Danio rerio: one gene and its partner. The protein of the gene in region 1 purifies or fractionates together with the protein of each later gene. This does not show direct contact. Links are inferred from orthologs where the notes say so. Each region holds a gene or a part of one and is shown in the gene's direction. Other genes may lie near its edges.

Region 1 (3,500 bases):
TTCGGTGTCTCTGCCAGTTTAGCTCTTTTTTTAATGCCTCAGCTTTTATTTTTGGTCTTCACATGATGAAGAAAGGCTTAACTGACACACACACACAGGCTTTTCATCTGTAGCTTTGTTGACTTTCTGTCAGCGTAGATGTCTTTTAGATTACACATCCATGCGTTTAATTCTTTAAAATGTTTGTAAAGTAATACAATTTATTTAAGGTTTAAGATAAGTGCACTATTTTTCTTAATGTTATTAATTCACTTAATGGAACATTTCCTGATATTTTACTTGAGCCTTTGTCATCCAAGATGTTCATTTCAATTGAAAAGAAATTAAGGTTCTTGCTGAAATGGTGCAGGATTTTCCTCCATATTGTGCACTTGCCATATATGGTACACAGTGGTTTAAACTTCTAATTTGCAGTTTTAATGCAGCTTCAAATGGATATAAATGATTCCAGCAGAAGAACAAGGATCTTACTTAGGGAAACAATTATTTTCTTAATAAATATAATAATACAAATTTTTAACCACACAATCTAGAGTTAATGCCAGACAACATTTTGTGGTTTAAAAGTTTTTTTGTTTATTTTTTTGGGGGAAATAATCTATTGTTTCACTAGGTAAGACTCAAATTCTTTAGCTAGGATCATGTAAAGTGCAAAAAAATTTCTGAGTGAACCACGTGAACAGAGTAAACTAATCATTTAATCACTGGCTCAGAAGCATAAATGTGCCATAGGTTTACATGTTGTTGTGTTGTGCCATAGGTTTACATGTTGTTGACATGTTGTTAGGTTTATATGTTGCAAACAGGTGAAGTGTGTAATGCAAAAAAAACTTTCTTATGTCCAATTTAAGACTACAATAAACTGCAAGTAATCATTTGCCCACTGCTCTGACTTCGGAGCCTTATTGTGCAGTTGGCACAGAACTGTCTAAAATCTGAGTCATTATTTTGGTTCATAATAATATTTGCAGTTTTATTAATGAAATAACACACTTCATCTTTACAAGATCAAGTCAAACCTTACATTTAAATTTTAAATATTATATTTCTTCAATCCCAGGTAATGTGGGTATGTAACCAATGCCGAAGGCAACAGGATATGCTCACAAAATCAGGAGATTGGTTTCCCAGTCAAGTGCCCAAGCCTGGAGAGCTGGGGTCGGCAGTGAGTGAACCAGCCATGTGTGGAGACCCCTCTGGGGACAAGAAGATGCGCTCTAGGTCTCAGAACCCTCTCGACTCCTCCATTTCCACTGCCCATATTACCCAGACATCTGCCCCAACCGACCCTAGAAAATGTCCTTCTGCAGGCCCAGCTGATACACCATCATCGCGCTCACGCAGTGAGCCTCCACAAGATAGGTACACTTCAGCTTCTCTCAGTAAAATATTGCTGGTCTTTTTTAAACTCTTAATGTGTTTTAACATGTCTGTTAGCCAATTTTAAAGGAAATGTGAGCATGTTTTAGCTGGTTAGGTTGGGAGACCAACTTCCTTCCAACACCAGCATGGCCTAGCCAACCTGTTATTTAGTTGGTATATCTGGGGTCATACACTGCTGAAGCTGGTGTGTAATTTGCATAGTTAGTAGCCAGTTGGTCTCAAGGATTTAGAGTCTAGTTTATAGCTTAAACTTTAATGGGCCAACTTGGGGCTAAACTCTTCAGGATGTTGTCTACCCAGTAGCAGGCTTAAAGATCCTTATATAAGACTGTCTGAATATCTTTGTGATGTTGTGTTTTTATTTACCCTTTAGAAAAAAGCCACCAGCAGCCTCTGATCAAAATGGAAAGCCAGGGCCAAGAGGTGAGAGGCGGCAAAGGCTTTCCAAAATCCATTCCGAAGAGCGGGACACCGGAGAAAATCGTAGAGAAAGTCGAAAACTGATGAAAACTCGCTCTCAGGAGCATGACAGTCCTGAGACAAGGAGGACAGAGGGGGAGCAGAAACCACCCAGGGAACAGTGCAGGACTGACCCAAACGCTCCACATCACCCGGGGAAACTCCGGCCAACGGAGCCTGATGGACGCTTGCACCCTAAATCAAGGGAAGGGGGGGACATGGTGCAAGACAACAGAGGTGCACGTAGATGGGCAGATGGGCGACAGGCCTCATTGGAGGGCCCACAGCCAACCTATGTGCCAGAGAGGACCGCGGGGGAAACAGGTTTGCAGGGTATGCCTGCCATGCAGGGTCCAACACCTAAAACCAACCACACCCCTCAGCCTCCTGCACCGGGGTTCAAACTGGGCCCTGCTATGCCCACAGGTCCACCTGAGCTTAGGGAGCCTCAGGAATGGGACAGGAAGTTGCAGCCGAGCCACCTGGACCCCGGCTCGGCTGCACTTTTGCGCAAATCAAAACGGCAAAAAGCAGAGAGCATGCTGCGCAATGATTCGCTCAGCTCTGACCAATCAGAGTCTTTGCGACCACCCCCACCCCGCCCCTATAAGAGCAAACGGGGTGGCAACAAAAGGCAGATGTCCGTCAGCAGCTCAGAGGAAGAGGCCGGTTCCACACCAGAGTACACCAGCTGTGAAGATGTGGAGATCGAGAGTGTCAGTGAGAGAGGTGGGTCAGTTGGACAGTTGGTTTTTTGTATTATTAAAAAAAGAAAAATTAATCAGGTGTTTATATAAATAAAAAGATTTTCACAAGATTTTACAAGAAAAAATCAGCACTGTCCAGTATGGTTTTTACATCTGTTGAAGTTTATTTGCTATTATTATTGTTATTATTATTATTATTATTATTATTATTTATCTAAGTTAAATTATTATGTAATATCGTCCTTAACTAATACAGTGATTTTTACTAATAAATAATAAACAGTGTATAGGAAACGGTTTTGCACTGAATAATGTTTGTCTGGTTTTGACTGGTTGAAGCTTGTGGTTTAAAGGAGAGGATGTTATTCATATGGTAGTGTGCTGTTAGTCTGGCAAACTGACTGAACACAGACTTAAAAGGTCAACATATTAACACAAGACACGGGTGAAATGTAAACATTGTTGGTTGAAAAGGAAAGACAGACTATATGAGAAGGAATGAGAGACTAAAAATAGGAGAACAGAAGATTGAGCAGAACACAAGCTCATTCTTATCAGTGGAACAACATCAGGTTCAACAATCTCATCCAAACAACAGGTAGGACGTTTATTTTCATTTAATAAAGAATAGAAAAAGAACAGTTTGAGGTAGCACCTGTACTTTGTCAGGTTGTCTTTAAAACTGTTGCAAATTTTGTCAAATGTGTGGGCTCTTTCATCTCCAGGTGGATTTTTTGTTTAATCTACCAGATGTAATTTCATTGTCATTGTCTTGAAAAATGTTTTCTAATGCTTCCATCATTTGTTTTCAAATTTTCAAATGCTTTTATGTATAGATCACATGTTTTAATTATGCGCCGGATTGCCTCAGAGGTCTTTATTTCGGAAAATTAATCATAAAAATGTGAACTATAATAATAATAATAATAATAATAATAATAATAATAACAA
Region 2 (4,235 bases), on another chromosome or scaffold:
AAGATCGATGAAAACCTGTAACCATTGACTTCCGTGGTATTTGGTTTTCCTACAATGCAAGTCAGTGGTTTTGAGCTTTCTTCAAAATATCTTCTTTTGTGTTCAACTGAAGAAAAAAAACTTGGTTTGGAACCACTTGAGCATGAATAAATGGTGAGTACATTTTCATTTCTGGGTTAACTATCCCTTTGATGTTCAGGCAGGAATGCATTTTAGTCATAATCTTATAATAATGTACCCTTGTCTTTTTTTAATGGTGAAAGTGGAGAGCGGTTTAAAGACAGACCTCCATCCGTCTCTGTCCACCCTGAAGCATCATGTCTGGAGAAGGAGCTGGAGGAAAAAGTCTGACAGTCAGCCAATCACAAAGCACCAGAGGCATCAAAGCCAATTACAGCAGGGGTCACATGATCACACTTGGCTGCATATGATTGGCATGGCTGCAGACAGCGAAGAGCTCATCACTCAACTTCATGCAAACTTCTCAGAGATGACCTTCACAGAATATATAATGAGAACAGGAGGTTCTTACCAAATGAGCTTTTCATCATTTAATGGCTAAACAAGTTAATTAATTCAATATAATTCATTAAGCATATGTACTCTAAATCTACAAAAACCTGTTACCATGCCAGTGCTACCACTTGGCATTTGTACAACTACGAATATGGTGTATATTACATGAGTAAATTGATTATGTGTTTGTATGTAAAATGAATATTTATGTACTTTTGTACTTATGTATGTATATCTCAACAAAATGGAAGGTATTTTTTATTCATATGCAATGTTATATAATATTTTATCATATTATTTATGATACATATGATGACACATGCACAAACAGGCTATGTAATTATATATATATATATATATATATATATATATATATATATATATATATATATATATATATATATATATATATATATATATATATATATATATATATAACCAGAATACTTTAGATGGGCCTAAGTTATATACAAATACATACATACATACAAACATTGATTAAGTTAAAGTTATAATATAGATTAACCTTGATTAACTATTCTTTTAATTATGTCTTTACAGGCTACATGGACTTTAAATTGAGCTTATCAACTGAGACTACCTAGCCTATACATGACAACGCCTCAGGTGGGAGACGCGGCTAGTATTAGTCATAATATCGATAAACCTTGATTTAACTCTTCTTTTTAACTCTGTCTTTCAGGCCACATTGACTTAAAATTGAGCTTATCAACCGACACAACATACATATACATACATGACAACGCCTCATGTGGTCGACGCGGCTAGTTTGTCCCTCTTGTGCGCTGGCCCTTTAAATCTGAAGTGCATTTATGGTGTCGGGGGCGGAGCTAGTGTACGTGTGTCCAATCAGAGCGCGGGATGCTGATACTGGAGTGAATGCAGGACGTGGGACTCTGATGCTGATGCTGGGGGACCCGCACAGTGATGGAGCGGCGACGACGCTGAAAAGGTAACGAAACGTGATTTAACGACACCCATAGGCTTTCATTCACCCCACTAAGACAGGGTTTATAGTAAGGAATCGAAATGAGGCCCGATTCATCGATTCGAGCTAATTATATTATTTCTGAATGACGGAAAATGGGCTTAAATCCGCTGTAGTATGAACGAGATGAAGCGTCGCTCGATGCTGTTTCAGATGCATTTGCTTTAGGATTAACAGTCAGTTTTGCTTCAATGTTTTTGTTCGTTTTAGTGTTAATGTGTCTTCGTAAACGCTTGATATTGCTTTATGGATATTTATTTGTGCGGTCTAATTGTCTAAACGTGAACAATTCGATGTGAACGTTAGATTGACGTTTATTTAGCTGTATATTTATTTGGATACACCTATAATTTTGTGATGTGGATTTTGGTGCATTCCATTTTGAAATGCACGTAGCATTTGGTGGTTTTCTCAGCGATTTCTTCTCATTTAGGAAAAAACATGGGCATGTATGACCTGTCAGCCTCTAGGAGTGATTTTTTGGGGGATGATTGACAGTGGTAAAAGCCAATCAGAAAACAGCTGTTATGCGCACAGCCAGTGGCTTCTGGATGAGGGAGGGATTTCACATGCGGGTTCTGTCTGGTCTTTAAAATATCAAATAATTTATTGGTTTTCGGACATTGTCTCTGGGAAATAATAAAAAATTAAGGGACATTATTTTTCTCACAGTGTGACCTACAGGCATCTGTTAACAGTGGTTGTGTAGTTTGAACTGTCACTCTTTAAAATCCATTCAACTGATATTATCAGTAGGCCTATTACTAAGATTATCTGAGATGAGAACTATTCTTAAATAGAGATTTACAATGTATTATTTTAGATATAAAGATATTACCCTTAAGATATTATCTAACTCTAAGTATCAATAATTTGTCTCGTACAATGCATTCTGAATTATTATATGATTTCTAATGTACTTTTAAAGTATTACAGTGGCTATCAGTACATTCTGAGGAAAAATCTTGTCAGTTTATGTAGCTTGGTTAAATAATATAGTTATTTAATATAATATTAGAATATATAGCTTTCTGATATATGATCATAAGGTTCCAAAAAGCAGTCCCATAATACTGGAACCATAACGAGCTTCTGGTATCCTCAGATGCCAGATCTGTATCCTTTTTATTGTAAATTTAGCAGGATATTTATTCACGTAAAAATACTGGAAATTGTATATGAATTTTGCATGTTATATATAATAATATATATTTCTATGCACTGAAATATGCAGAAATCTTCAGATATTGCTATTAATTTCATAAAAACTTAAAGATAGAAGTCAAACACTGAAATATTTGTCCATTTTAAGCCGACTGACTGAATTTTTTAAGCATAGCTTGACATATAATCTGTGCTTGATTTATTTCATTGATTTGATATTATTAGTATTATTAACTGAGAAGAGAAATATACTAAAATAAAGGTTTACAGTGTTTCACTTTTTATTTTACAATAAACAAGGTATAACCAGAAGTGTCAATAATTTGCCTCATACAATGAACTCTGAATTATCGTATGATTTCTGTTTTACTTTTATAGTATTATGGTGGTTGTCAGCACATTTTGTGGTAAAATTTTGGCAGTTCATGTAGCTTATTTTTTATATTAATATACAACTTTCTGTTATATGATTATAAGGTACCAAAAAGCACTCCCCATAATACTGACAATATAGCGAGCTTCTGGTATCCTCAGCTGCCTTTTTATTGTAAAATGAGCAGGATATTTAATCACATATTTTAATGCTTGGAAATTGTATATGAATTTTGCATAGGAATTTGTGAATATGCTTTCTTATGCACTGATATATGCAGAAATCATCAGAAATTGCTATTGATTTCACAAAAACGTAAAGATAAAAGCCAATACATTGGATTATTTGTCAAATTGAAGCAGACTGAATGCTTTTTTAAAGCATAGTCATATAATTTGTGCTTGATTTATTTTATTGATTTATTTATTTTAGCACAGCAAATTTACCTAAATAAAACCTTATTGTAAGATAAGGATTTAATTTTATTTGTGTAAAGGGGTGATATTTGGTTATAGTTTTTTAATGTAAAATTTGTACATTTATAAAAGAATCTTTTTGTTTTATTTCATTTTATTTTTGTTTTATTTTAGATTATTTTATTTTTAATATTTTTTTAATTTGATTAAATTTTTATTTTTTACATTTTTATTTAATTTTATTTATTCCAATGAAGTATGCTGAAAAGTGGCATAAATTGATTTTAGATGATGGACTAGTGACTAAAATATTTCCCCAGGGTAATGATGAGGTCTGTAAAAATGTGAGTACTCATAGAAATGATTGACTTCAATTTTATAAATGTTTTGGATTTAAACTGTCTTGGCTAAACTGCATTCAATGCAACAGATGTATGGCTTGGCCAGATTCTCTCTGAGCATGTCGTGTTATTGAAGTCTGGGTAATTTGCCCTTTGTGCCTCTGTGAACACACTGTTGTCAGCGTCAGAGTGGGTGGCAGCGAGAGTCAGTGGCTCGTGATATTCATCCCGCCACCTTGATTAAGCCATTTATGCTGGAGAGCAGCTGCCTTCTATATATTACTGACCAAAAAAGCGCTTTCTGCCATTTAGTTCTCATTTAACTCTGCTGACATTTCCAGCTCAGTCTCTTTGAGTTACGTTCATGGAGACCTAAAAGCTTCATACGCTTGCTGCTGGCATAGATTAGATTTTAT

What was found. The genes of interacting proteins can lie anywhere in the genome.
Region 2: the proteins of rims1a (region 1) and erc2 purify together in Homo sapiens (affinity purification with western blotting; 3 studies listed by BioGRID and IntAct, with this or other methods). This does not show direct contact. The link is inferred for Danio rerio from reciprocal best matches to the Homo sapiens genes RIMS1 and ERC2.

What each region holds. Positions count from the first base shown.
Region 1 is NC_133188.1:30,910,912-30,914,411, reverse strand, and holds part of rims1a (regulating synaptic membrane exocytosis protein 1), read left to right. Parts: exon of another isoform or gene 1-652; intron 653-1,060; coding exon 1,061-1,362; intron 1,363-1,756; coding exon 1,757-2,571; intron 2,572-3,500. UniProt on the Homo sapiens protein: Rab effector involved in exocytosis. May act as scaffold protein that regulates neurotransmitter release at the active zone.
Region 2 is NC_133186.1:39,767,269-39,771,503, reverse strand, and holds the start of erc2 (ERC protein 2), read left to right. Parts: upstream 1-1,435; 5' UTR 1,436-1,489; intron 1,490-4,235. UniProt on the Homo sapiens protein: Thought to be involved in the organization of the cytomatrix at the nerve terminals active zone (CAZ) which regulates neurotransmitter release. Seems to act together with BSN. May recruit liprin-alpha proteins to the CAZ.